Rhinolophus ferrumequinum: one gene and its partners. The protein of the gene in region 1 purifies or fractionates together with the protein of each later gene. This does not show direct contact. Links are inferred from orthologs where the notes say so. Each region holds a gene or a part of one and is shown in the gene's direction. Other genes may lie near its edges.

Region 1 (7,912 bases):
TTGGAGATAACAGAGAACTACTAAAGAACTACTGCTTTAAACCCTATTTGCAAATGAGCAGAATGTGAGTTATTCAAATATAAATAACAAAAGCAAGTAAAACTTTGGTCAGTAAAAAGCCAGCTGTAATAATTACAGTAATTTATATCTAATTACCATGTGGCATAGTGATTATGCGGCATTATTGTGTCCTGTAAATCATACACTAAGATCTTTGTGATTAGGATACTAAGTTGTAGTCAGTCATGTGTGCTCTGTAGTCAGTTTAAAGCCATTAAAGGTAATTTAGGTTGGCCTAGTCTTGAGTTTTTTTGCTTCAGGGAAAATAGGGAGTTAAACAGGAGGTGAACTTGTTACATTTGGTTCTGAGGGGACCAATATAAAGATACTTTAAAAAAATTAATGTCATCTTTATTTATTAAGGGATTCTGAGGAAAAACTCAAAACACTGTAGATTTTAATCTAATTAAACCTCACAATAACCCCAGGAGGGCGTTCTTACACAATAGCCTTCATTGTTTAAAGCTACCAGTTGTTAGAGGCCACAAAAGAGTCACTTTGTCTGCAGTAGCTTCTCTGTCTTGGCTTAATTCGTAAGTGTTATAATATTCTTTGAAATAAGTCTGGTATAAATATAAACTATTAGTGTATTAATAAACTCCAATCATCATGAGACAGAATGATCTCACCATAAGGAATTTCTTAGAAATGACCTTACACACCAGCTTAAAGAAATAAAAAAGTTTGTTAGTGGAAAATTTAAAATTATGGATTAACTCTCTATGATAAAGATATTTTCTTATTTAATCCATGCGGACTTACAGGACTCCTGGTATGAGTATGATGTTAGGTGCTATGGACACAAAAACAGCTTAGGATAGAAATGAAGTAGTCATAACAGTAATGTGTGTGGCAATGATCAAGAGATCTAAATAAGTCAGAGCATGTCATTAATAAACCAAGGACTGGAGTTTAGCAATCCTAAGAAGGGATAGATACAAGTGGAGGAATCTTGATGACCAGCATTTTCCAGGTCCCTTGTTTTGCAGTTTGGTACAGATAGCATGGTCTTTAATAGCTCTCTCTAGAAAAGTAGGTAAGGGAATGCTTTCTTTCACATACAAAAATTTCATTGGATTCTTATAGTGTCCCTATGAAATAGGTAGGGCAAATATTATTTTCTACTTTTATGGACAAGAAAATGAGCTCAGCAATAGTACACTGCTAGGGATTGCAGTGAATGGATGGCAAAATTAGCAGCTGAACCAAGTTCTCCAAGTTCTCAGGTGGTGCTCTTATCTACAACGAAGCATTTCCAAAGTCAGGCTTCCACCCTTATCTTTAAGTTCTCCCAGCCCAGCTACCCTCTCCAGACTCCAGGGCTGGTGTGCTCAGTCCTTAAACCCCTGTCCCAGCTGGAATCTCTCATTTCTTCTCCTTTCAGCCAGACATGGTTAGAGGAATCCATAGGAATGTTTACTTTTAAAACTAAGGTAAGACAAAAACAAAGTATGAAAACAATGAATTTGATTGAGTAGGTTTCGGCTCACAGGTTTGCCTGACAGGAAAGATGGACTTTTGGCCAGAGATTCTTTCCTTTATCTCCTCCCTGTCCAAGAGGTAATTTGCCTGTCCTGGCATAATTCTCTTATCTATTTCGGGTCCTTCTTCTTCTCCTCTGGAGGAGGGGTTAAACTGAATCTCCAGCCACTCTGTTACTAGCGTTATCCATAGACGGAAGAAATGATTACACTCACCATAGTTGTGTATCACATCAGTAGCCCTTGTTCATATGCATCCAATAGCTTTCATCCGTCCTGGAAAAGATAAAAGAACACATTCCAAAAACATCCTATGAGAACCTACAGACTCCAATAGAGAGAGTTCTCAGGATGGGGAATATGCAGCATTTGAACCTGACAACTAAGCGGCACCTTTTCCCATATTTCAATTTAAAAACAAACAAACAACTTTTCCACTTTTTTTTTCATCTCCAAGAGGGATTTCACAAGAAAACTGAAGCACAAAGAGGTTAAATCATTTACCAAAGATTATATGACTGTTAATGGTAAAGCCAGGATTCAAATACAGTATGATTGCAAGACCCATGCTTTGAATCACTACGTTCTTCATAGTGATGTTCTAAGAATTAAATGAGCTAATATAAGTTAGGTCCCTTGCATAGTGCCTGGCACATAAACAAGCCTTAAGTAAATGTTGGCTGTAATATTATTTTTAGCATTGTCATTTCTTCCAAGAGATGTCTGGGCCAGAAAACAGATTTTAACATAGGATATTTTGCATCTACTGCAGTTAATTGCCCCATGGTATGTTCTGTGTCTTGCAATTGAACTGACAGGCCTCTGCTATTACCTAAACAATCTGTGTATTATGAGTTACCTGGTTAAGCGATGGGCCAAATGGTTGGCAACTTTTTCATTTTCCCATGCAAAAAAGCTCTTCATGCTGAAAGAAATATGAAGTATCTTATAAAAGAATGGTATACTGAGCAATAGCTAGCAGAACAACAGGCAGTACCCAGATTATAAATGGATTATGTTTCAAAAGTTCCTTTGTCAAGGTTGCAAATAGTGGTTACATTCCAAGACTATTCACAGAAGTCTTTTTATTTAGCACATTTTAAAGCTCAATGATAGAAATCATGCCACTAACCCAAGGGCAGACCTATGAACAAGAGCCTATATGATTAAAGAATAAGAAAAGTGTGTTTCCTGATACAAAGGAAAGTTGATATAGAGTGTATTAGTTATTTACTGCTGGGTAATAAATTACCCCAAAACTTACCATATTAAAATAATGCACATTTATTATCTCACAGTCTCTCTGGGTCATCTGGAAGTGGCTTACCTGGGTGTTTCTGCCCAGGATCTCTCATGAGGTTTCAGTGAACATGGCCAAGGCTGCTGTAATGGGAAGGCTTCACGAGGGCTGGAGGATCCACTTCCAATACGGCTCACTCACATGGCTGTTGACAGGAGGCCTCAGTTCTTCATCACTTGGGCTTTCCTCATGACCTGGTAGCTCTGGCTTCCCCCAGTACAAGTGATCCTAGAGCGAGAACAAGAAGGCAGCTGCAATGCCTTTTATGACCTAGTCTTGTAAGTCATACACTGTCACTTATGCCAGATTCTATTCATTATGGGCCACAAGCTATTCATTAAGAGCAGCCCACACTCAATTAGAGGAGGAATTAAGCTCCACCTCTTGATAGGAAGCATATCACAGAATTTTTGGACATATGTTAAAATCACCATAGTTTTTGTTGTCCTCCCAACATTTCTTCAGGTACCCAGTGATACAAAATAGTTAAAATAAATTGGGATGCAGAACTGCAATCCTTCCCAACAAAGTTTACTGTAAATACTCAAAAAAAAAAAAAAATTCATGCTCTGGCCTCAACTTTTCTTGAAAACATCTATCCCATTTCCTTAAATGGAATCTCAGTTGAAGAATTTCTACTAAAGAGATAGCTATCACACTCCTGAAATATTTGCTTTATTCATTTGTCTCTCTCATTAGAATGTCAGGCAGTATAATAAACAAATAAAAACCAAACAAATAATCTATTCCCAAACTGGGTGGATTAAGATATTTGGGGTTAGGCAAGCAACCTTCAGTAAGCTCTCTCCATTCTTCTGATAACGACCTCTGTGCCCTGATTATTGAATATTCTGGGTCTTGGGAACCATGGGATCTCTGATCCAGATATCCTAACCTGACTCCCACGGCTGCAGCTCTGTAGGAATATTGTGGGCAGTCAAAAGTGAGGGACCCTCCTTGAGTCCAAAAGTTCTTGCACCTGAGGCATGTAAGATTCTAAGTGTCATCGGAATCTTTGGAGGAAAATGATGTTTCATGTGACTTTTTATTGTACTTCTTGTTAACTTGAAATTTGGTAGTCCGTGTCAACTGTTGTCAAAAAACATTTATCGACACTGGATAAATAGGAGTGTGCACTACAATTCAGCTCCACGTAGAAGTTAGGGGCTTCATCTATAAGATTTCTCCTGGTAAGTGTTGTGTTGTTGCTGTTGTTTTAAATCTTATTTGAGTCTTAACCCCATTTGAGAATATGATGGTTAAGAAACTTACTGAAGAAAATACATATACTCACAAAATTTTGCACATAAGTTTAAGGCCTCCTAAATCCTCTAAAACCCACCCAGGGAATCACTAGGGATGGGGTAGTGATTGTGATTCATTTTGCCATTAAAATTTAGGTCTAAATTAGAAGCTACTACTTAGAACTTAATGATTTTGAATTATGTGTTCAGTTAAACAGAACCAAAGGCCAGAACAAATAACTTTTACTAGATTTTCTGTGCTTGGGTTTAGTCCATGTCGTGAATACTTGGAGGCAAAAGGAACGAGGAGTAAGCACACAGAGAACACCACATAATTTGCTGAAAAACAATATTAAATATATATTAAAACACAACTGCTTACGACCATAAGCCTTGCCCCTCTCCAAGTTGGCCTGACTGTGCAGCAAATTTTGCGAACTTGCCAGAGAGGCAGCAACTAGAGAGCGCTAAATTGGTTTTCTGCCGAGCCTCCGTAACCAAGATCTGACCGAGATTTTCCCAAGGCCCTCCTTGGGTGGAGCGACCTCCCGGCCACAACGCTCAGTCCTGGGCGGGACCGTTCGATTCTACCCACTGACCCTGCGGACCCCAGTTCCATCTGTCTCACAACAAGGAGAGTGGGAAGGGTCCGGCCGGAGACTGGGGCTTCGCCAGCGAGTGTCCCTCGGGCAGACAAGGACCAGCAGCGCCCGGCTGGGGTACGCGGAGTGCGCCCCTGCCCCGCCCTCGCGGGCGCCCCAGCCCTGCGCTAGGGCCTGCGTATCCCCGCGTCGACCCCTCTCTCGCGCGCTTCGCCTGCGGCTGCTGCGGCGCACGCGCGCGGCCTCGCTCAGGGCAGCGGGAGGCGGCGGTCACGGGCGCCGGGCTCCGAACCTGTCAGACCCGCGGAGCCGGCCTGGAGCTGCGGGCGCTGCAGGCGAGAGATCGGCCCCGCTCTCCCGCGGCTCCGGGCCGAGCTGTGCGAGCCGGCCTTACCAAGCCGGCCGAGGGCGGGGAGATGAACGGCGGCTCCGCGGCAGCGCCCCAGGTAGACGCGCCGCCCCTTCGCGGAGCCCCGGCGCCTTGGAGCCGGCCCTGTGTCCCCTGCCGCCCTGGGCTTCGGAACTTGTGAGCTCTGATGGGGCGCCTTTAATTTATAACGTGTTCCGTTTTCCACAGGATGGGGAGGAACGCGCGGCAGTGCCATCGAGAACTGGCGCTCCGGTGAAGTAGGAGCTGCCAGCCGTCCGCCAGCACCGAGCCGTTCCGCGCCGCGGCCGCACGGCCTCTGCGATGGCCGGATCCAGCGCGTGGAAGCGTCTGAAATCTCTGCTGAGGAAAGATGATGCGCCGCTGTTTTTAAATGACACCAGCGCCTTTGACTTCTCGGACGAGGTGGGGGACGAAGGGCTTTCTCGGTTTAACAAACTTCGAGTTGTGGTGGCGGATGATGGTTCCGAAACCCCGGAAAGGCCTATTAACGGGGCGCACCCGGCCCTTCAGGCCGATGATGATTCCTTACTGGATCAGGACTTACCTTTGAGCAACAGTCAGCTGAGTTTGAAGGTGGACCCCTGTGACAACTGCAACAAACGGAGAGAGTTGCTGAAGCAGAGAAAGGTGAAAACCAGATTGACCATTGCTGCCGTTCTGTACTTGCTTTTCATGATTGGAGAACTTGTAGGTGAGTTGTGTTGCCAACTCACTTGACATTTCCATTTGTCAAGCTTTAGTTACACGTGATTTGAGGTTTAAACTTTCTTTTTCAGGAAGCTCGTTATTTATTAAGATACTGATCTCTTGTGATGTGAAAAGGCCACAGTTCCAAAGTGCAGATCAACCTGAGCACAACACAAACTTATTGTATAATATCTTCATTGTATATCATGTAACTTCCTCTTTTTTAAAAAAAAAATTCTGATAAAACACCAGGTTAATTTTTGCAATGTTTAAAATAGCAAATGATGCTAAAATTACTTAGAATCATACATTTTTACAATATGAAGGGACCTTGCTGAACACCTGCTCCACCTTCTTTTTCTCATAAGGAATGTGAGGGCCCAGAGAGGTTCAGTTGTGAGGAAATTAGGTAGTAATGGAAGAGCCGCATCTGCAGTCCCAGCTGCCTGATTTTTTTTCCCTCTACATTTTACTAAAGTGGTCTCTTTATAGTATTTTCTTTTGGATTTATATCCAAGAGATTTGCAAAATTAAATACTACCAACTAACCTGAAAGCTTTTCTTTATAGGGAGGAACTGAAAGGAAGCAGAAAATGGCTCCCCCAGGGTTTATGAACTTGGTTTTATTTTTCATTTTTTAAATTGTGTTAAGTAATACATTCTCACTATAAAATACATTCTTTGTTTAGAAATTAATTTCACAGTCACATTACTGTGACTGCTAACTTCTCAGTGACTGTTTACAAAGTGACATTAAAGTAGGGAGAGCATTCTCCCATGTATGTTGTCTCTTAATGATGAACCATGATGAGAACAGAGGTGGCAGTCCAGATTTAAGGTGCTGGTTGGAGGTTAAATGTAGGAAAATTGTATATATTTCCTACCTCATTTCATACCACTCCTCCCAGTACTCACTTCAGCCAGGCTGGCTGCCTTTCTCTCTACGATTCACAAAGCTCTTTCTTGCCCATAAAGCCTTCATACTGGCTGGTCCCTCTACCTCAGTGGCTTTCAAAACAGCCTGGCATGTAATGGTCTTCCAGGGAACCACCAGACAGGTCAGATAATGACAGTTCTTTAAGAATGGGGCTTTTAAGGAGCTCCAGCCCCATTCTAACCCTTACAGGGGCTTCCAGGCTGAGATTTTCACTGTGATTGCTGCTTGTTGGTTTCAAGGCTACTGAAAAGCTGGAGAGGGGAGTTAGGTATAAGTCAAGTTAAAATGCCACAGAGCTCACTGTTCTTACCAAGATTCATCCATTTTCCTTGAATAAATGCTACTTGTAACAGCCTTTGGTTAATTTCCAGAGTTCTGAAAAATTGATTGGGACAATTTTTGCCCATGTTCATATTGCTTTTATGGAGGAGATGATTTGCAGAGGTCCTTACTCTGCTATTTTTGCTGATGATCACCAACATGTGACTCTGTAAATTTAGGTTAATTAAAATTAAATAAAAGCAATTCAGTTCCTCAGTTGCACTAGCCATATTTTAAATGCTCAACAGCCACATGTGAGCATTTCCTTCACCCCAGAAAGGTCTATTGAACAGTGTGGCTGAAAGGTGTTCTCACTTTATAGATAAATAAACTGAGGCTCAAAAATGTTAAGTAACTTGCTCAGAGTCTGTGAGATTTCAAAGCCTCATGTTCATAACCACCAAACTGTATTGTCTGTCAGTCATTTCTAGCTTTTTCACGTCAGGGAATACATAAAAAATGATATTTGTATAGAGCACACCAGAGTAAATGGATGTGACTACAAGATCACCAGCCTCAGTTCTCCTGCTATTTTTGGCTCTGCACACCCATCCCAGAAATAGGGAGATCGCAGTTCGTCACACTTAATGTTTCACAACACCCTGATCATGAAGTTCCACTATACATTCTAACAGTGATTCTCAAAGTGTGCTTCCAAGACCAGAAGTATCAGAATCACCTGGGAACATGTTAGAAATATAAACTCTCAGGCCCCATCCAAACCTACTTAATTAGAAATTCTAAGAGTGGATTCAGGCAATCTGTAGTTTAACAAACCTTCCAGATCATCCTGATACACATAAAAGTTTGAATATTCTGTATTATGTTATAAAAGCTTATTCATGAATGGTGCTAGGAAAATTAGTTGACCATATAGAATAACATGTAT
Region 2 (6,832 bases), about 30 Mb from region 1:
ACTGTCTCATTACTTTCCTATGTTGAGTTGGAAACTATGGTCATTTTTGATGAGGCAATTATTAGGTTTTTTTTTTTCCCTCTCAGTTCTGCCATAGCAAAGCTATATGAACTTGATAAATCTTGTACTGTGTCTGGTTCTTAATCTCTTCATCTGTAAAAAAGATTGGGTTGAATCAAATTACTTTTTCCCCTTGTTAATGCAGGTAATATTTTATTTCTGAAGGCAAGATGGTGAGCCATTATATTTTTAAAATTCTAACTCACCTAATATTTTTTAGTGCTCTTTGAGCTAGATCTATGTTAGGAACTATGATGAAATTAAAGATATATAAGGTATAGTTTCTGCTTACTGTGTTATGGAGAAACGAGCAAACAGAATTATTATTTTGCAGAATTTCAAGTTCAGAGAGGAGTAGCCTTCAGGTGATATAACCATCAGCTCAATAAGATCCTCAAGGGTTCTTAGCTGTTTGCCGTCCTCAGTGTGTTGACTTCATTCTGAGGTTAGTTCCTCTTGTGGTCATTAGCTTTCTACCAGTGGCAATATAGCTGACTTGTTCATACCTGGTAGGAAAGAGAATCCTCTTCCCTAAGCATGGACTAAAAATCCTTCCCTTTAGTCTGATTGGGCATTTACCCAGGACTATAATGGTTTTCAGGTGTATTAATTAGAATAGTCTAGGATCTAGCATAACTTAAATTCTAGGTCACACTGCAGTAACAAACAAACAAACAAACAAAAACCCAAAAAACAAAAAACTCCAAATCTTAGTGGCTTAAACAACAAAGGTGTATTTTTTCACTCAAACTATATATCCATCCTGACTTGATGAGGGTTGGAGGTGGGCTGTTCTATACTGTCCTTTCTTGGGGACCTAGGTTGACAAAGGTTTTTATCATTTTCAATAATACTGGCCTTGAGGCTGGAGAAGAATAAAAACTCTAAGAACTTATACTTGCAATTAAATGTTTTACCTGGAAGTGACACATACTGACTTCTACCCACAACCCACTATAGACTAGTGGTTACAATTAGTTACATGGTCCAGCCAACTTCAAGGGTAGGGGTGGGTGGCAGGGATGTATGCTTGAAAATGTAATCTCTGTACATGCCTGGAAAGACAGGGCAAGCATTACAAATCTCTACCATACCAGGGAATTCATTTACTGATTGACTCAGGCTGAGTTGCCCTTTTGTAGATGGAGGTTGGATGGTTACCTAAAAAAAACAAACAAAAACAAAACAAGCAACTCTATTAATAAAGAAGATGCAGAAGTGGATGTTGAAAAAGAAATTAACAGTGTGAACTATATGGTACTTTATCCCAAAGGAGAAGAAGGAAATTACAGCCATGGAGGCAAGTCATAGGGAGGGATAGTTTGGTAAGTTTTATCAGTCTTTAAGTCAATCACTTCATTGATTCTTCTGATTGGAAAGATTGGCTCTGGCTCTTTAATGAGTGGGTGTATAGTTTCTATTTAAGGAGTTGGCTCAAAGGTGACTTAAAACATTTATTGAATTTGAAGACATAGACTGTTTCTCCATATTTCATTGTTGTAGTTACTGTCAAGCTGGCTAGAGTTATAGTTTAGAACTGGCAAACAACTAAAATTTATGTAGTACAATCCTTTATTTTATAGGTGAGGAAATTAAGGACCAAATGTGTAAAATGATTACCACAAGGTCATACCTTCTTGCATATAGCAACAACGGTGCTGTCCTTTGGATGATTTACTGCAAAATGGAATCCTTTAAGAAATGTAGCTGGAAGGAACTCATACAACTCAACAACTAAAAAAAATAAACAACCCAACTGAAAAATGGGCAGAGGACCTGAAGAGACATTTCTCCAAAGAGGACATACAAATGGCAAATAAACATATGAAAAAATGCTCAACATCATTAATCATCAGAGAAATGCAAATAAAACCCACAACGAGATATCACCTCACTCATAAGTGTTGGAGGGGCTGTGGAGAAAAAGGAACCCTCATACACTGTTGGTGGGAATGCAGATTGGTGCAGCCGCTATGGAAGGGAGTGTGGAGGTTCCTCAAAAAATTACCATATGACCCAGCAATCCCTCTCCTGGGTATCTACCCAAAAAATCTGAAAACATTTATCCATAAAGACAAGCGTGCTCCAATGTTCACTGCAGCTTTATTTACGGTGGCCAAGACTGGAAAAAACAAAAATGTCCTTTGATAGATGAATGGATAAAGAAGTTTGGTATATAAACACAATGAAATAATATTCGGCAGTATGAAAAAATGAAATAGGACCATTTTTGACAACATGGATGGATCTTAAAGTAGAGAACCATATGATTTCACTGATATATGGTATATAAACCGAAAACAACAAAAGAACAAGACAAACAAATGAGAAACAAAAACTCATAGACACAGACAACAGTTTAGTGTTACCAGAGGGTAAGGGGGTAGGAGGGTGGTAGATGAAGGTAAAGGGGACCAACTATATGGTGATGAAAAGAGAACTGACTCTGGGTGGTGAACACACAATGCGATATACAGATGATGTAATACAGAATTGTATACCTGAAATCTATGTAACTTTACTAACAATTGTCACCCCAATAAACTTTAAAAAAAATGTAGCTGGAGCAACAATTAGAAAACAAGAACAATAAAAAAATTATTAAAAATTATTAGGAATGTTTCCAGGGCTGACATCTGGTTGGTCCACATTGGGGGAGATGGAAAAATTTCTAAACTATTTGGTAAGTAGCTGCTGCTGAAACATCTGAGAGCCTCCTCAACCCTTCTCTGGGACCCCACAGATCTCCCCATGGTAATTACAAGGTCTACCTTGAAAGGTTGATTTGAGAATAAATGATGGAGGCCAAGAGTTTATCATGGGGCCTGGCATTCAGCAGTATTACACACTGGCTATTATTTTTATTATAGTCTTTAATAAAATTGTAGTAAATTTCAAACTAGTTCCTACAAGAATGTTCACAACTTTTGAAATGTGATAGTATTCAAGTTCTTTAATTCGATCAGCTAATCTCAATAAAATGGCTACTCAGGTACTCACTTAACTTTCATTTTGATATTTTTCCATTGTCTAATGGTTGACTTCTCCTTGCCCCACCCGCAAGACCCCACAGTTCTGGTTGAAGACTAAGAATTTGACCCAGGCTGTGTAAAATATGATGTATTGACAAGATTCTATTAGTTCACAGTATAAAATGTCATGAAAAATATTCTGTACAGTGTTTTGTTGAGCAGAACTTATCTTCAAGTTTTTGCATAAGCACAGATAGGACTAAAGCCTAGTTAATGAGGGAGGGGTGGAGGAAGTGGTGGAACACTTCTACTTTCTTAAGCAAATACCTGAAACTAGGAGTGATGCGAGGCAGAGTCAGGCAGCTGGGGTGAGAAGAGAGAGTGAGAAGGCCCAGCAGCAGAGAGGGAGGCTGGAGCTTGTGGAGAAAACATTCTTTGACAGAGATGTTTTCTGGTGGCCAGTGATGTGTAGAACCTTGTGGGGATACTTTCTCACTCAGAAATTTAACCTGGCAAGAGAAAGGCAGTTTCAGTAATATTCCTCTCTGGAAAGAATAAAAGAAATGTGTTTTTTAAAAGCTGAGACTTGTGAATTTTCTGTAAATTGATAATTGGCCTGGAACTTAATGTATAAAGATTTGTTCTCAAAAGTTAGTTGTTTTAACTGATACTTCCAGTTCTGAGGTGGCAGCTAAATCCTGGGCATATCTTGGAAAGGACCTTGATAACAGTGTTGTCACAGGCTGAGAAACGCACTGACTCAACAGAGTGCAGTTGGAATTGCCGAAGACCTAGTTTCTGAGTATATGCTAGAGACACCAGTTATTTGGTATTTTAATAATATTTTATACTGTACTATGAAAATGCATTGGACAAATCTTAGACAAACATTCCTTGGACAGATTTTTTTTTTCCTTTTTGAGCAGGAGGCAGGGAAGATAAATATTTTAATCTCTAGGTTTCTGGAATGGAAAAATGAAGACCAGACAAAAAAACAGGATGTTTTGAGGCAAGAGTAAAGCTTTGAATTTGGGATCTTGAAGTATACAAGGTAAGCTTTGAAGTTAAACATGTTTGCTAAGATTTTTTTTAAATGCTGTTTCAACTAAAAAGTAAATATCCACCTCATATCTGACTTCTAAAAATTATCTACAAAATGACTAATAAGACTTTGGCCTTTAACCCATCTTTCTATGGCATAAGCCTAAAATTTGTTTCCAACAACCAAAGCCTGTGGCCCTTATAACAGAATTTTCTTCTGTTTATAAGCTTAGTGCAGAAACGTCTTTAGTGGAGGATAGCAACCATGTATTCAATAAATGATGGTTGATTGATGACAAAGCTCTCTGACTTGGAACATAATTCTGGCTCTGCCAGTATATTTTTTGTGTAACCTTAGATAAGTCATTGTACTTTTCTCTTAATTTCCCCTTTTCACAGGGCGATAATCATAAAAATGATTGTAAACTACTTCGTGAAGAGCTTTTTGTTTAAAGGGCTGCCAATAAATACGAGCCACAAGGTTCAGCAAATCTCCCTCAGAAGCTGAGCTCCTTGAGGGACAGGGAAATTTCTTCTTTGATTCAACAGTATTATATTTGTAATACAGTTCCTGGCCTATAGGATGGTTTCAATACATACTGTATGTAAATTTATGAATGTTATTAGGCAGATTGCAGTCTTGGCAGGCCACTGTCTCTTAAATATCTTTTCTGTGATTCTTTTCACATTCAGCATCTAAAAGTCCGCACTATTTGCTCTAGGATAAGTACCCAAGGCATTTACTTAAAAATAACCAAGTCTAGAGGGATAACTTTTGTCCTTAGGTCACCATTTCGCTTTTCCACGGCACTGCGCCCTAGGCTTGGGATCTGGGTCCGGACGCACAGGGAAGAGTTCGGTACGGGAAGCTCATCCTCTCGCCCTCTGATTGGTCTGCTCGCACTCCACTCACGCAATTCGCGTCCCTGATTGGCCATCATGGCACCCCTTAGCCGGCGACTACTTTGTGTGCGGGGGCAGCGCGCTCCGGTCCTGCGTCTCAGCTCGCGATCTGGGCTGGTGTGGGTTAGTTCTGCGGCTCACTGCTCTGCATCGCGGGCGCCAGGAATTTCCCGAGTCCGAGCGGGTAGGAAGCATCCTAAGGAAAAGCTCCCCTACCCCGTCCCGTGTTCTCTTTCCCATACTGAATAAACTTCCGCTTCAGAGAGGCTGTCGCAGCCGCCAGTCGCGGGTCGGGGGAGAGGCCAGGCATCGAACTCAGGCCCTCGTGGGAGACCTTTCTGTCCGGGCGAACGTGAAAACAGCTCTCATAAGATAAAGTGGGTGCGACTTCGTTAGTCGCATTGTGGGTGCGATGTCATTCTATGGCATCAGTCCGTGTTGCAAACTGCAGACGAGCGGCCAGACCTGCCTGCAGCGACTGAGCAGCAGCAGTCACCCCTAATAAACAGCAAAGAACCGCCTTTCAATCTCCTCCAGTACCAGTGCTCCTTAGGGCTGCGGGCTAAACTGGCATAGGCCGGTCCATTCCTGGCGGTGGAGAATACGGCATTCCCTGGAGGTGGCGCTCCGGGAATGGGGAGTCCGGCTACGCTCGCGCCCCCCTCAGCCTCCGGCCTTCTGGCGGTAGAGGGCGGCGTACGCTCGTGTTGCAGCCGGCGCCTGTGCGCGCAACTGCTGCCCTGCTGGAAGTCTCCTGGTCCCGCTGTGGCCCGCGGATCTGCCTGGCTGTGGATGCTGCGGCTACGCTAACCAAGGGCGCAACGAGAAGGGGGCGGGGTGAAGCCCTAGCACATGCCAGGGTCGCCGTAGGTGGCAGCGGCCGGCGCATGCGCGCCCTCTCCCAGAAGCCTGGAACGCTGAGGGGCGCGCGCCCCCATTCGCGCGCGCACGCTTGCGCTAGCCGGGGCTTCCCCGCCTGCGCTGGTTGTCAGCCGCTCCGGCGCGTGCGCGCGTTATCTTCGGTCGACCGGAGTGGCGGGGTTCCCTCCGCTGCAGGCCCCCGCCCCCCGCCGCCCCCTCCCAGCCCCCAGCCAACCGGTCCCCTTCCTCTTCTCGCGGAATGGGGCCGGCGCTGCTCGGGGTCGCGCGCCCGGGACCCGGCTCGCGCTCGGTCTCGCGCTGTCAGCGACTGCCGGGCTCGCGCCGCCTCGCGCTCTCCCTCAGTCACTGGCGCCGAAGGCTCCGTTAAGCGGCGGCGGCGGTGGTTCCTGTTTCCGTTTCTTCCTCTCCCTTCAGTCGGGAGTAGCATCCTCCACCCAGCCACCCCTCCCGCTGCCCCAACGTTGAGCAGCTGCGGCTGAGGGCTGTGGCGGCGGCGACTGGGGAACGGCGGAGACCGCCTCTTCTCCCGCCTCGGGTAAGGGGGCGTTTGGGGGCCGGGCCCCGCGAGCCTCGGAGTCTGTGGCTGGGGAAGCGCGGGATCTGATGAGGCTCTGGGGATGTGACTGGAGGCTATCGCTGCTCTTTTCCCCCAGGCGATCCACAGGCCTGTTGCTGCAACTGCTGCTGCTTATCCAGCGGCTCCGGGAAAAGTGGGGAGGGAGCCCCTGGGACGCTCTGGCGGGTGCCTTTGAGCGGACCGGAGGGCGCGGGCTTGGGGGTGAGGGGCGCCCGCCGTCCGGACCTGGACGCGGAGCGGCGGCGTCGCTGCTGCTGCCCTCGGCGTCTCGCATCCTTGCTTAGGGCAGGGGCCGAAGCCGAGGAGAGAAGGGATGGGGGCGGGGTGGGAGGTGTCCCTCTTCTCTTCTCCATGTCTACCTGCCCTTTCGCCAGCAACTCGGTCCCTATAGTCACTG
Region 3 (7,490 bases), on another chromosome or scaffold:
CAACGGAAGCACACAGGTGGCTGGTTTTAAAGTAAAGAAACTGAGGCCCAGGGTGGGGGTTTCCATGGGAAGAGCAAGTTTGCTGAAGACACTGCATACGACTCTTGTTTGACTCGAGTTGTACCACCATCGGTTAGATGGAATTAAAAGATTTCTGACCCCTCAACCTTGAGATCATGAAGAAACTGATTTGTTTGCTGGAGTCGGGGATCTAGTTGAGTGTTAGGCTGCAGGACTTTCCTTAGTGGAATTTGTCTTGTGGGACGTGAAGTTTAAAGTGGACGCTGGCCCTGAGCTCGGGGACGACTTCAGCAGCTTGTGCAAAGAGAACAGACACGTTTCCTCTGAGCCTTGTGGTTCCATCGTAACAACCACGCCCGCTGTTTGAAAGCAGCCTGGGGAGGGGTCACTGCAGTCCAGAGGAACTTGGGCAACTCGGAAGCTCTCCAGCTTAGCACGATGTCAAAACGAGGGCCACAAAGCCACACGTCCTCGGGGCAGCCTTTCCTGACCCAGTTAGGTCAGCTCGCTCTGCTCTAAGTTCTCCTAACTGTATACAGTTCCTAGCACTTAGCAGTTGTAATTGTGTGTTCATTTTGTGATTGCTTGGACGGGTCTGCCTCCCTACTAGACAGCGGGTGTGAAGGTGACACATTGTGTTGATTACGCTTTCCATTCTATTTAGTCCAGCAGCTGGTGTATGGCACGGGACTCAATAAATATTTATTGACTGTGTGAATGTGGTATTTCTTTGTCTTTCTGATGTTATTCCTGACATAAACTGAAACAGGTATGACATTGCCATGGGAGGGAGAGCGCGGGGGTCAGAAGCTTTCAAGCGGGTGCAATTCTGTGGCTGGCACAGATGCAGACAAATGGGCCATCTGGGGAGAGTTCTGGTTACCTCCAGAAAGACAGGCACCCCTGACAAGGAGGTGGCTTGAGTTTGCTGCCGGATTTTGTGACTTTAGGTTTGAAAGTTTCATTGTTTTGTTTTAGGTTCCCTTCCCCCACAACCATCCTCACTCCCTCGGTTCCAACTTTCAGGAAGGGGTCTGGGAACCGACCCGTCATGAGGAGCTGTTATCACTGGCCTCTATGGGGATGTTTCATGGAACAGCAGCTTTGCAGAGCTCACTGTCACATTAGAACTGAGTCTCCCTATTGCGATAACCTTGGTTGATGTTTCTACAGTTGAGGAAGCTTTCAGATCATCTGTGTCTCAGAGACACAATGTGAAGTAGTCCGCTCAGAACCATGGCCCTCAGTGTATAGCTGAGGAAAGGGAGGTTCAGAAGACGTCGATTTACCCAAGTTACAGTACAAACAAGAACAAGTGAACGTTTTTTTGGAGAGCTTACTCTGTGTTGGGGCCCTCTGTATTTAGAACATATCATTTAATCCTCTACACATCCCCACAAGATAGGTAACCATTATTATCACTCCCATTTTACAGATGGGGAGACTGAGACCTAGAAGTCATTTGCCACAAATTGCTTAAGCAGGAGGCGTAGAGCCAGGCTTCAAACCCAGGTTGTCTGTCTCAGGAGCACAGAGGATGAACCACTAGGTATTCCCACTTCTTGTTCAATTTTGCTGCTTTATTTTGCCATTTTTTAAAAACCTGTTTGCAGTTCCACCTTAGCTTAGAATGTATCAGTCAGAGACCATTGTGATGTCTTTGCATGATTGAAATTATATCAACGAAGTCCAGTTAAAAATCCCCTACATTTACTAATTTTAAAAACGTATTGAATACATTTACTAATTTTATTTTGTTGATGTGGCCTGTCCATTGGAGGGCACCTCCATTGAATATATTGAGGAAAGTTTGTACCTTTCTCTGACACTCTACAAAACATTGTTAAGAAGTATTAAAACATGCAAGTCCATGAAAACAGGTGATTATATGAGTTCTTTTTAGACTAGTATCTCTTCAGGGAGATGACAAATGACCAATAGTGACCGGCACACTTTGTGCCCTCTACAGAACCAAGTCGCTCTCCCAAGTGGGTTCTCTATACACTAGACTTTGTAATCAAAAACATGAAAATGCCGTAATTTGTAGTCGATAAGAACAGTCACAGCAAAAGTGCCCTTTCTTGAAATCTAGGTAGGTAAGTGATCCGACAAGATTTTGGGCCTATGCACAGAGCTGTGACCCAAGCTGGACACCCAAGCTCCTGGTCAGTAGGGCAGTGAACAGAAAACTCAGCAGAGAGAATGGTAGTTACGTTGTCTTTTGAATGTCACTGCCTACATTTCAAAGCCACATTAGAAAGGATATTGACTCATATTTGTGTGTGTGTGTGTGTGTGTGTGTGTGTGATCTGTGCCTCTTCCCCTGTCCGTGATGGATAATTGAGGTTTTAATATACAGTAGTGACATTCTAGTAGATGAAGGAAAGGGGCAGTCCCGGAGGGCAATCTGAACTTCTGCTTAGTATATTTACTCTTGCTGTTTTTCCTTCCTCCTCATTTGTAATTCAGGAGGCTCTCTGAGAAGAGAAGGACAGCGAGGCTTCTCAGATGGATCGAAGGACCATGAGCTGGGATACCGGTTTCTTTGAAAAGGTCTGCTATTGAATTTGCTCTGCTACTTTTAGGCAAATCATTTGGTCACGCTGTGCTTTGGTTTCTTCCTGTGCTTGCTGGGTGTAAATAACATGTGTTGGAGTATTTTGTGATTATTATAGAGTATGATAATATGGAAATGATTTATTCTTCCAGGAGCGCTGCTCAGGTGAGAAGTGAAAATCTGCTCTTTTTGAGATGCTGGGCTCCTTGGCAGTCACCTGACCCTGTCCTTCAGACTCCAGAGCCATCTAGTTGCTTCTTGCTCATCTGACACAATTTGCAGACTCTGAGCTGCAGCTCATCAGGCTTAGAGTGGGGGGCATTACCTTTTGTTTTCAGAAACGAAATATGTCATTTTATATGCTCTTGCTGCTTTCACCCCTGTCTAAAAGATGAAGGGTTTCTTTTGGCACAGAGCTGCTTTATCTGTGACACTGATCCCAAGAGACAGGAGGGAGAGGAGACATGGTAAACAAACTGAGGTATTTGGACGTCCTACCATAGATCCTTTTTGATGATTTGGGCCAGGATCACGAGAGGTTTGAATTAGATTTAGTAAGGTGCAAGCTCTTTGGGGTTTTGGCAGGAAGCAGTCCCAGAGTATAGTGGAAGAGAACGCAAAGTACCCTCCCCCTTTCTTAATAGCCTACGTAGCATTAGGCAACAGGATGTCTCTGTTAGCGATAGATAGGTGCCAAGCTGAGATTCTCTGAATCTAATAAAAACGTCTGTGGGTAAGGAATGATTTTGTTCCGCATCAGTGGATGTATAAATGACAGCCTCTGAAATGCAACGTTGGCGTTAACAGGTTTCTTTTGAACTAAGATAAAATGTATATACAGTATTTCTAGAGCAGTTAAATCCAAAGCATTCTCTAAGCAAATCGAGGAAGGTGTTCAACTTCGAGAACCCATGAAACATGTTACTCCTTGGTTGCAGCTTGGGTAGCAGCAGGAAGAACTTCAGACACAGGAACACAGTGTAACCCTTCAGGTTTGGAATGTTGCTACTAGGTCTCCCCGAGCTATAAATGATTAAAGACACATCCGGGTAAATACCAGCTCTTAGTTGGCTTTAAGAGTGTCGTGCCCAACTTCCGCCTGTTCGTTCCAGGAAACAAGCAGCCAGGGACTCCAGTTTGGGGTCTTCCTTCATTCTTGGACAGGGTCATCAGGACGTCAAAGCATGACCTACAGGTGCGCCAGCTGCAGTAGCTTCCAACAAAGGCAGAGCTTTCACTGAGGCCTCTTAGAAACCAGTCGCCTGCAACTGGCCTGGCTTGGGGAACGGGACGCGGTGGTCTGCCCTCCGCCCCCAGATGCCTGCCTGCAAAGCAGGCTGGAGGCCCCCGGGGTGAGGGTCTGGCTTGTTGGCTCTGAACGTAAATAGGAAGCCACGCAGCTAAGCCAGGAACGGCGACGAGCGGGCAGCGTCCGTCTCCCGCAAGGACTCAGTCTGATTGTCTGGTCCTAGGAAAGGAATGCGCCGCCGCCGCCTCTGCCCCGGACCAATGGGCACAGCAGGGTTCAAGTCCGGCCGGGGTTGGGATGAGCGGCCCAGAGCCGATCACTAAGGCGAGCCAACCCCAGAATTCCCGCGGCCACCACGGTGGAGGGACCGGGAGGCTCCAATTACCGCCTTCGGAAGGGAGCCTAAAAAAATTACCATCATCGCCGCCATTACGCGGAGCTCGGGGCCGAGGAGAGGCTGGGCCGCGCGCGCCAGGCGAATGCGCGCTCCCTCGGCCCCGCCTCCCGGCCGGCCCGACCCGCTGATTGGGTGGAGGGGAGCGCGCCCCGGCGAGAACGCGCCCCACCGCCGCTCGTACGTGCTCCGGGTGGAAACCCGCGCCGCCGCTGGCGGCGTTCCGCGGGCGGAAAGGAAGGGGGAGGCGGGAAGGCCGCGCGCCGCCCGCCCCTCCCCACCCCCGCCTCGGCCCTGCAGGGGCTGGATGGGCAAGTTGGGCGCGATGGCTCGGGCCCGGGTGGCGGCGGCCGGAGGCGGCGGCGTCTCCCGCTCCTCGCCGCGGCGCCGGCGGTGATCGGAGCGAGCGGCCGCGGTCCCTGATGAGACTGCTGGCGGGCTGGCTGTGCCTGAGCCTGGCGTCCGTGTGGCTGGCGCGGAGGATGTGGACGCTGCGGAGCCCGCTCACGCGCTCCCTGTACGTGAACATGACGAGCGGCCCCGGCGGGCCGGCGGCCGCCGCGGGCGGCAGGAAGGAGAACCACCAGGTACGGAGCGGGCCGCGGGCGGGGGCGGGGGCGTGGCGGCCGGGCCTTCCCTCGCGCGGCCGCCGGCGTGGGGGCGGCGGGCCGCGGCGCCTCGCGAAGTTTCCCGGGCCGGGCGCTCGGCCCGGGCCCCGCGGCGCCTTTTGTTCCCGGCGCGGCGGCCGCGGCCTCCCGTGTCCCCGGCGCGGGCCGGAGCGTGGGCGCCCCGGAGCCCGCATTGTTCCCGCGTCCCAGGCGGTGGCTGCAGACGTGCGGCCCCCTCGGGGCCCGGGGACCGTGGGGGCCCGTGGGCGCGCGGCGGGCGCCGGGCCTCGGGGAGCACCGCCCAGGCCCAGCCCGTCGCCCCGCGCACGCCCCGTGCCCCCGCGAGGCCGGCCCCGCTTTTTGTCTGGAGCAGTCCGCGGTCGTACAAAGGGTCATAAAGGAACGTGGCCGTGCACCGCCCGCCGCCGCTCAGCGCCCCGGGCTCCTTCAGGTGACATGTCCCCGCCGCCCTTAGAACAGGCGTTTGACAGGTCGTCGCTCGCGTCCCACCCGGCCCGGGACCTCGGCTTCCAACTTGGATGTTGGTGCCCGACCCGAAAGGGGTGGTGAGAAGGGAGGGAGGTGATGGGCGCCAGCTCGGAACTGGCAGGGTTTTCACACCGGAACTGGGCAGGAAGGAAATGTTTCAAGAGTTGCAGTTGATGCGATGGGACCGGCTGGGTCGTCTTTTTTTTTTTTTTTTTTCTTTTTTTTTTTTTTTTTTTTTTTTTTATTAGCTTGGTTTTGTGCCGTTTAAAGAAGTACGTGCAGGTCAGCTGTGGAATGAAGAGTGAGAGGTGTCCTGTTTGACCACCAGGTAGTTTGCAGCTCACACGTGACATGCGTTGAAAAGACACGCTGTTGAAGTCTATAGTGTTGGCTTATAGTAGCATTTACAGTACATTTTGCCTTTCCATTTATTCCCCATTTTGTGTCTCATCGTTTTCGTAGACTTCTCGTTTTCTCCTGTGTGGCTTTTCTTGTTATGCTGGGGGTTCAGAGACTTTACACCCACGTTGTCTTTGTGTGTGTGTGTGTGTGTGTGTGTGTGTGTGTGTGTGTTTAAATGAAAGGAAGGAATTATCCAAGGGGCGGAAAGCAATTCATTCAGGAAAGTAGCATTTAGTTTTCAGTTAGCAAATATTTATAATGGCCCGTTTTCTGTTTGTAAAGGAAATCATAAATTTCCATGATTTTTTTTTTTTTTTTGGTAGTCCCACAGCTGTGGCAATTCCTATGATATTGTTAGGTGATTTTAAGTTGCGAAACCACGTTCTTTGCTATGGATTAATTACTTACATTAGTCTTTTTAGGTAAACAGCTCTACTGTAGTGATGACGAACAGTTACCAAAATGTCATATATCCGTATGAAACATGGGTAATGGTGTAAAACAGTGAATTAAAAATGTCACTTTCAGCAGTTGGTTGAAATAAGGTCCCGGATAGGATAAAAACAAGGCTGATTTCCACTGATGTGGAATTATGGTTGAAGGTTTTAGCTGTTGGTGTTTATTCTAACACTTGTGACCACCTCTACTGCAACAGACTGGATATGTTTCGTTGCTCATAAAATGGGACGAATGTTAAAAATCAAAAAACCGTTTCCTTTGATTTTTATGGAACCTAGGTGGAACTATAGCTATAGATGTAGCCTCAGAATATCTCCTTGTAACAAAGGCTACTTTCTAATGTTGTACCTTTTAAAGCTGCATCATCTGTCAGGTTCTAAGGAAAACTGGTGCTGGTTTTGGATACCTCATTTACTTCATTATGCTTTGGAGATACTCAGGAGTGTGTGTCTGTGTTTTAACCAGTGGCACTAACAATTTGGCACCTAATTTCTCCAAGGTGGAAGAGTAAACCGGTGTTTTCTGAATATTGAGAAGGAGAATAGATCTTTTCCTTAGAATGATCATTCCCGACTTTATTTCGAGATGATACATTCACATTATGAAAATGTTGTTCACAAACAAAGCTTAAAATGAACAAAAGAAATATGTATGCAAACCACAGTGAGGTTAAATGAAACAGGAGACTGTCTTCTCTGCTTTATGTTCCAGGATCCTGGATTTGCTTTATAAACTTGGTTGCTTGTGAAGTAACTCAACTCTAATGGTTCTCCCCCCTTCAAATTAATAGTTTTATACAAGGTCTTCTGGTGTTCATTTGGGTATGTGAGTTCCATAGCCAGCCACATCTGGTTCTTTTGGAGTTGCATGAAAGTAAGGTTATGGATTTGATTGAACCATACTTAGCACAAGCTTTCCTTATGGTTATTTTATTAAGAAATTATGATGGAGGATTCTATGGTTAAAAGAATCCTCCAGCACTTGGGCAATGTTTCTTCATTAACAATTGCTATTTAGTTACTGTAGCCCAGAGATGCAAGGCTTCTTTGAGCTAAAGCAGCTCTGAAACTATAGTAGCAGCACCACTGCAATAACTCGGTTTGGTATGCTAGCTTCAAAACTGAGATTATGTTTCACTTGGGGCAAGCCGAGAAGCAGGGAAGGGGGGGGCGGGGTTGGCTTGCAGGCCAAATTGGATCACTGACTTTTTTGCACAACCTGTGAAGTAAGCTATATTTTTAAATGGTTACAAAAAATAGGATGTTTTGTAACACGGGAAAGTTTCTTATGTGAAATTCAAATTTCAGTGTC
Region 4 (7,769 bases), on another chromosome or scaffold:
TTCAGTCATATAATCATTTATCGTCCTAGGACTAGCAACTTAATGAAGGGCTGCAAAATGGCATCTGTATAAAATGTAACTCCAAATAATCTCTCAATTTACTACCACTATTAGGAAAAAAATTATCATGGGGCAGAACTTCTTTGACTTTGGGGGATATAATTTCAAAAAATTTTATATTATAATATAAATTTTTTAAAAATTTCTTCAGTTTGTCTATTTTTTTTTCTCTTCTGGACCTCAGGTACCCTGAATTGGATTAATCATAATTCTTGGGTTATAAACACATCCCTCATTGGTCCGTGGATTGCCCTCATTCATTCATTCATTCATTCATTCATATGTTCATTAATATAATTAATACAAAGAACACATGTGAACCACCACTCTGCCTAACAATAAAGATTTAATAAGAATGTATCTACCTTTGCACTTATTCTCTCATCTTGTTCCCCTATGTTGCCTGCTTCCCCTGTACTCCAGGGGTAATCACTGCCCGGAGTCTTGCTTTTGGATTTTGTAAACAGGTTATCACATTATGTCACTAAGGTTTACCCATGTTGCTTGTACCTGTAGTTTCTTTCATATTTGAAAATATTGCGTTGTGGTTTGCGGTCCCTGCTTGTTAAATAATACTCAATTTTGATGAAACAACTCAAAGAAAGCTAATACAGCTAATGAGGTGGGTCACACTTCACACTTTAAATTGAAGATGTTCATGGAGACTAAGATATTAGACAAAATTCAAATAAAATCTTTAAATTACTATGACAAACAAGTTAATCCTAACGTCTTGGTCATACTAGACCAAAATGATTCAGACAGCTGTGAAACATGTCAAACTCATTTCATTCACTACAGATAGATATGCTATTATCCTATGCCTAAATATATTTAACAAATCTAAGCTGTCGGTGGTATCTGAAAAGACACTAAAATAAAGTACCATTTTTTTAGTTTCATAGTGATTATGACATATTGTTAAAATTTATCTGTGACGGAGATACATGGATGATTCATATTTATAATTTGTAAAATTATTCGGGATAGATTTAGCAAATTACATTTCAAATTGAAAATCAAGTAATTTCAGATAAATAGAATAAACACATTTTTAAAAACTGCTTTAAATATTTTTGCAATTTTATAATTTGGTTATATTTTTGTCTTAGTTCACTTTCACTATAAATGACTTTAGTTTTGTATTACTCCAATTCATCCTTTTAAAATATCGCTGTGCTAAATAGCTACAGCATTCAGTATGAACACAGTTTGTCTTCTACCCTCAACTTCTCTCAATCACTCCTACAAACTATACTCTAGAACTGCATTGTCCAATACAGTAGTCACTAGCCAGATGTGGCTGTTTAGATTTCAAAATTAAATTAATTAAAATGTGGCTAGCGGCTACTGTATTGAACAATGCAGGTATGGAACATTTCTACTGTTGCAGAAATTTCTATTGGACAGAACTGCCTTAGAGTTTGGATCTAGAATTTCTCTACAGAATTTGTGGTTAGTAGTATGGTTGATATAGGGGTATAAGGATTTATCCTAAAGGTGCATTAGATGTCATTTTGTATGTAGACTGTATGCTTGTATTTGTGTATATTGGGAGGGGTGCTGACTGAAATTATGTGGGGTAGAATAAGACTCACGAAGCTACTCTTTTCTTCAATTTGTTCTAACTATACCACCCTACCCTGCCCGAAAATTACACTTAATTACCTCCATCCCCGCCCCTTTGTGTTTTATTCTTTTCCTTGTGCCATTTTCCACCTTGTGCTTATCTCTATTAGCTATTGCCCTCTCACAACTACTCACCACGATTACTCACCATTCAAGGCCCAGCCTCAAATGCTCCTCAAATGCTCACCACGATTACTCACCATTCAAGGCCCAGCTTCAAATGCTCCTCTTTGGAAAGCTACCATAGCACTCCTTTCCTAGGCTCATAGACCATGTAGTTCAAAGCTCTATTATAGAATATATCACAGCCTTGCCTCGAATTATCGTTCATTGTGTCTCTGATTCCTCTAATAGATTCTGATCCTGTTAATGGCAGGGACTTTGTCTTCTTTGCTTTTTAAATATTTCCCCCGTGCCTACCATAGTACAATGCATTTACCCACTGCAGCAGTTCAGTAACCGTTTAAATTGACTTTTAAATAGCTTAGATGTCTAAAAGACATCCTGACCCTAAATCTGCTCCAAGCATACTCGAAGTGCTCCCCTTAGTTAATGTTATATTAATAGTTACTTTATCCTAGTTACTAAGGTCTAAAACTCTGGAGTCCTCTTTAATTTCTTGACTCTACTCTTTTTCTTAAATCGTTTTCATCACCTCCACTGTTAGTTATTACCTTGTTCTTATTACTATCTCTCCTTGGGATTTTTGCAGTTGTCTATGCTTAGTTACCTTACTTCTACACTTGCATTTCTACATTATTTTCAACCCAGCAGCTAGAGTGATTCTTTCATTATATATATATATATATATATATATATATATATATATATATATATATATATATATATATATAAATTAGTAGAGCTCAGTATGTGCCAGTTACTATTCTAAGCAATTTACAAATGTTCACTTATTTATTCCTCATAATGACCCTCTGAAATAAAAAACTATTATCCCTGTTTTACAGATGAAAATGAGTATCCCTGTTTTACATAGAAAAATGAAGTAATTTGTGCAAGGTTGCTCGTTCATAGAACATAAATCATACCACGTCACTTCTCTGTTTAAAACACTCCAATAATTCCCCATTTCAGTCAGAGTACAAACCAAAGGACAAAGGTCCAAAAGGCTATATTGGATCTGCATCACCCTTCTTCTCTATTTTCCTCTATAACAATTTATTTATTTGTTTGTTTGTTTGTTTGTTTTTCTCTCCCCCCCAAATTAAGCTCCAACAAGGCAGGCAGGAATTTTGTCCCCTTCCCCACTACCAATTTTTTTTCTCGGTGACCAAAACAATGCCTTAAAATAATTGTTGGTCCTCTTAAAATAATTGATGCACAAATGATTGTATCTCATTTACTGTAAGTGGAAAGAAATGTTTAAGAAAGGAAGTAAAAACAGGAATTTTAGAATTCCTGAATTATAGAATATATAAGTTTATGTGTTGTAATCCCTAGGGCTTACTATCTTTTGAGTTCATAAAGTCAAACAATATTAACAAAATAATAAATAAAATTAAAATTTATGGGCATATACAAAATTCCATTTAATAATGGGTAAAATTACTTAGAGAAAGAATGAAAATGAAAAGCATCAATCACTCTTTAGGTATTTAAATGTGACAGATAAAAAAACACTGCGAGAGGGAGAGCCTAAAGAGCCACTCTTGAATGGATTCTGCCTGCTACTCTAACTGCCCAAGAACAAAGCACAGACTTTCAGGCAGAGTTCTAGTAAATCAGCAACTGTGGCACGTTAGATTCCAAGCGATTGGAATCTCCCTTGTGTAATACCTGAAAAACAATTCATGAGTGCAGTACCTCTAATATTTTTAAGATTAAGGAAAGGATGTGGAAAAGACCAAGGGATACCCATCAAGAATAATTTAAATGAATAATCGCATATCATTTTAAACTTGTGATAGTAGTCAGTTTCAAGAGCTGAATGCTATTTCATACTATTGTGGGTTGTTGTTTTTTTTAAGTTCGTCTTCTGAAGCACCAATGTGCTTCTGAGGTTCACTTGTTCAACTTTTTACATTAAACTGCTCAAACCCACTACATTGGGTTTTCCTCTAGATGAAGGAAAAAGTTATTCTTCGGTATATCTAAAATACTTCTTTTTAAAATGAGTTCTTCCATATTCACACGAACCATCTAGCTAATTTGTAAACATTCTTATTTCTGGGTCCCACGGTTTGGGAGTGGATGGAGCCCAGGAACTTACTTTTCAGACCATTCTTTGAGAACCACTCGACTCTGCTATTTTTGTATTTTGCAGCTTTCAAAATATTCATTCTAGAAATCTAAAGAGGAAAGGGCTAACTCCGGTGGCTGTCAGAAAGAACAAGAATAAGCGGCCCACGTTGTGCCATGTCGCAAAACTTTTCCTCCGTCTGCAGATCTTCTGTCCCTAGGGAGGAAATCAGTCCATTTTCACCGAGTAATTAACCATCTTTCAACCAGTTCCGTCCACGTCCTTCAGGATAACTCCCAAAAGTCATGAACTCATTTCCGCGGCTTAAGGTACAGTATCCTGAGTACCCTCACAGGGCCTCCGGGACCGGGTTCGCTTCCCGCCGCCTCTGCTCGCCTTTTGGGTCTCGTCCTCCCCGTAGCGCTCGGCGCGGCAGGTCTTGGCGCCAACCGGGTGGCGGCGCTGTCTGCCCCACGCGCGGCAGCCTCGGGCCCGAGGGAGGCGGAGGCACGGCCGGCGGAGGAAGGGGCGGGAGCGAGGCGCGCGCCCTGCTCTCGCGTGCTCTCGCACCGCTCGCGTGACCGGCCGGTGGGTACGCGAGGCGTCGGCTCCCTGGGGCACGGACGGCGGGGCGCGCGCCGCTGCTAGGGGCGTCCGGGTCCGGGTCGGCGGACCCGGCCGGCGCGAGGTGCGAGGAGGCGGGCCGCGGGGACCCGGGGGGACTCGAGCGCACACGCTCCCGGAGGAGCCTCCGCCGAGGCTGCTCTTCCTCAGCCAGACGGAGAGCGGCAGTGTCTCCCCGCCCAGCACACACTAGCCCCGCGTCTCCCCCCGCGGCGGCTGCTCCTCCTCGGCACCGCCAGCCCCAGCGCCGCTCCGGGGCGGGCGGCGGCGGCGGCGGCGGGACCGGCGGAGCCGCTTTGTGTGCAGCCCGACGAGGGGCGGCGGCGCAACCACCTGACAGAGGCCCGGGCGTTCGATGCACCTTCTGTCCGCATGAGGAGGAGGAGGTAAAGGCGGTGGCGGCGGCAGCTCGGCTCCCGCCCTCGGCTGGTGGAGGGAGGGGACGGAAGGGGAGATCGGAGGCGGGGGGGGGGGGCGCGGGACCGAAGCTCGGCAGGGCTGCCCGGAGGTGCCGGTAAGGCCTCGGCGGCGCGGGACGGCACCGAGTCGCCGGGGGCGAGAGAAGCCGCTGGGGTCCCTTAGCCGAAGTTGAAGGAACAAAATGTGAAGTGCGGAGCCGCGTCAGCCGCTTCCTGGCGTGGGGTTTAGGGTGGAGGGTGGCTTGTTTTCCCCTCCCGTAGGGGTGGGGGAGCGGGACAGGGGAGGGGCGGGAGCGTGGCGGGGACGCCCGGGGTCCCGAAGCTCGGCCCGGCAAGGGCGTTCGTTCTCGGGAGCCGCCGGTGCGTGTGGGTCCGGTCTGATCGCTAGTTTTGCGGCCTAAGCCGAGCACTATAGGCCTCGTGTCTCTTTTCCCTGAGGGGACCGGCCCGGCGGAGACTCGGGGCTTCTCTCTGACGGAGCGGGGGGCTTGTGGGTCTCGCCGGACTCCCCAGGCCTCCAAACTTCGGACCTCGGTGCTTGGGGGTGGATTTCATTGTGAAAGGCGGAATGGGAAACTCCTGGCGCTGCTCTGCGCTTCCCGCGGCCGCAGCGCCTGGTGCCAGAAAGCCCCGTGGGCCCGGGACTAGCCGGGCCCGCGTGTGTAGGGGAAGCCGCTAGGGTCCATACCCCGGGAAGGAGCGGGTGGCGGGGCCGCCGCCGAATCCCCGGCCTTCCGGGAGAAAAGGCCCTTTGCAGATTAGAGATTTTTTGAAATGAAAAAAGAGGTTACAAAGTCGCCCCTTTCCCGCTGAACTTTTGTTTTCTGACCGATAGAGGCCGGTAGAGGACTGTGAAAGAAAAGTTGTCCCCCAGGATGGACTTCTCCACCGCGCAGCCCAAGCCTGCAACTGCCCTCTGTGGCGTCGTGAGTGCAGACGGGAAGATTGCTTACCCTCCGGGGGTAAAGGAGATCACCGACAAGATCACCACCGACGAAATGATCAAACGACTGAAGGTAAGCGTCTGGACAGAATGTCCACACTTCAGACGGGTGTGGTAAGAGGTGCTGTCTCCTGTGGTATTACTCCACTGCGAGGCCTGGCCTTTAGAATTTAATCCTACCAGGCCTTTTTTTTTTTTTTAGATATTTTATCGCCTTCTCTTTTACCCTCTCTGAAAAGTATTCTGTCTCGGCTGTATCTTTGAATAATAAGTTCTGTGGGGACATAATCATTATGGGAAATTAGAAGGGTGTGTGTGTGTGTGTGTGTGTGTGTGTGTGTGTTTTAATCTTACTGTTTTTCAAGAATTCAACTTTTAAAGTTTTTTTGTAGAAATATTTATGAAAATATTTATGTTCAAAGTAGCTTGCAACCTTAAATGTAGGTAATAATTTGCCTAGGAAGTCCTGTTTTCATCATCTGAGGAGACTTGATTTAAGCCCAAAAGGTAGTCTTTAAATTGTCACAATTTTCTAATATCCAGAAACTTAAATGTGTCTAAGTATGGTTAGACTTTGATAGAAGGTACTGACTTCAAAATTCAGGCTTAAAGTAAGATGATGTTTTAGGTCCATATGTTCCAAAGGGTTTTAAAAGAGAGTATGATGGCTCTTTTTATAAGGAGTCAGCTTATTTAGTTTATTAGGTCAAGGTTGTAAATTTCAGCATTATGTTGGTCAATTTTTTGTGGCCACAGCCTTAAAAAAAAAATAAATGCATTCTTGGGTGCAGCCAGTTAGCTCAGTTGGTTAGAGCACGTGCTTTTAACAAGGTTGCAGGTTGGATATCCACAAGGGCCACTGTGAGCTGTGCCCTCCACAACTGGATTGAAACAACTACTTGACTTGGAGCTGATGGGTCCTGGAAAAACACACTTAAAATAAAAGTTTAAAAAAAAAAGAAAGAAATGCATTCTTAGTAAGGGATTAACTTGATACAGTGCTCCTCAACCGGGGCATCTTTGACCCCCAAAGGATATTTCCCAGTGCTGAAGACATTTCGCTGTCACAGTTGGGGCTAGGTTGGAGAAGGGAAAGGCTGGAAGCAGCGAGTCCAGCTAGGAACTGTTAATAATAGTCTAGGGGAAAGATGCTGAAATCTTGAGGTAGGTCAATGATTGTGGGAGTAAAGTGATAGAGGATGATCTAAGAGACAATTCAGAGTTAGAATCAGACTTGGTGGGAGGTGAGGGAAGAAACAATGTTGACAGTGTTTCTACCTTGAGCAACTTGGTGAAAATGTAGTTTTAGGGAATGATGTTGCCCCTTTGCTCTTAGAGCTTAGTATAGTGTGCCTAGTAAATGTTTACAGTGTCGTGAGTGCTTGTGAATATTTAAAATATTCTTGTAGTTTAAGATCTATTTATTTATTGCCTCTTTGGAAGGAATAGGACAAAACTTTTCATTGAAATCTTGATACCAAAGATTTTACATGAAGTGAGGTGCTTAATTGATGCTTCTTAAGGTTATATTGAGTGTTTTGAGATGCTGAAAAATTATGAAATTAAAAACTGTTAAGAAAAAAATTTATGGATCTTTTTTATTGTTATCATATTAAAGATATTGAAACCTTGAATTCTAGTGATGGATAAGCTGGTTTAAAAAAAGTTGCAACTATATATACATTTTCCACTTGAAAGTAGATTAAATATCAGAAATGCTGTCAACCATAAATGGACATAGAACCAAGTCTAGAATGAGCATTGGGTTAGAATATCCATTTGGTATGAGTTCTTTTGTAAGTTGACATTGTCATATATATTAACCAATTTAAATGTCCTGCTGTTAAAATTTTGCTATTCTCAAGAATTCTTAAGATTTTGCCTTTCTCCCTCC

What was found.
Region 2: the proteins of SLC30A4 (region 1) and FUT8 purify together in Homo sapiens (co-immunoprecipitation; 3 studies listed by BioGRID and IntAct, with this or other methods). This does not show direct contact. The link is inferred for Rhinolophus ferrumequinum from reciprocal best matches to the Homo sapiens genes SLC30A4 and FUT8.
Region 3: the proteins of SLC30A4 (region 1) and METTL9 purify together in Homo sapiens (co-immunoprecipitation; 3 studies listed by BioGRID and IntAct, with this or other methods). This does not show direct contact. The link is inferred for Rhinolophus ferrumequinum from reciprocal best matches to the Homo sapiens genes SLC30A4 and METTL9.
Region 4: the proteins of SLC30A4 (region 1) and PDS5A purify together in Homo sapiens (affinity purification with mass spectrometry; 3 studies listed by BioGRID and IntAct, counting the BioPlex papers as one, with this or other methods). This does not show direct contact. The link is inferred for Rhinolophus ferrumequinum from reciprocal best matches to the Homo sapiens genes SLC30A4 and PDS5A.

The regions. Positions count from the first base shown.
Region 1 is NC_046289.1:60,994,931-61,002,842, forward strand, and holds the start of SLC30A4 (probable proton-coupled zinc antiporter SLC30A4), read left to right. Parts: upstream 1-4,911; 5' UTR 4,912-5,133; intron 5,134-5,264; 5' UTR 5,265-5,378; coding exon 5,379-5,769; intron 5,770-7,912. UniProt on the Homo sapiens protein: Probable proton-coupled zinc ion antiporter mediating zinc import from cytoplasm potentially into the endocytic compartment. Controls zinc deposition in milk.
Region 2 is NC_046289.1:30,711,418-30,718,249, reverse strand, and holds the start of FUT8 (alpha-(1,6)-fucosyltransferase), read left to right. Parts: upstream 1-3,830; 5' UTR 3,831-5,160; intron 5,161-5,978; exon of another isoform or gene 5,979-6,393; intron 6,394-6,832. UniProt on the Homo sapiens protein: Catalyzes the addition of fucose in alpha 1-6 linkage to the first GlcNAc residue, next to the peptide chains in N-glycans.
Region 3 is NW_022680357.1:16,855,684-16,863,173, forward strand, and holds the start of METTL9 (protein-L-histidine N-pros-methyltransferase), read left to right. Parts: upstream 1-4,480; 5' UTR 4,481-4,643; coding exon 4,644-4,808; intron 4,809-7,490. UniProt on the Homo sapiens protein: Protein-histidine N-methyltransferase that specifically catalyzes 1-methylhistidine (pros-methylhistidine) methylation of target proteins.
Region 4 is NC_046288.1:14,335,599-14,343,367, forward strand, and holds the start of PDS5A (sister chromatid cohesion protein PDS5 homolog A), read left to right. Parts: upstream 1-4,758; 5' UTR 4,759-4,899; intron 4,900-4,990; exon of another isoform or gene 4,991-5,121; intron 5,122-5,767; 5' UTR 5,768-5,807; coding exon 5,808-5,948; intron 5,949-7,769. UniProt on the Homo sapiens protein: Probable regulator of sister chromatid cohesion in mitosis which may stabilize cohesin complex association with chromatin. May couple sister chromatid cohesion during mitosis to DNA replication.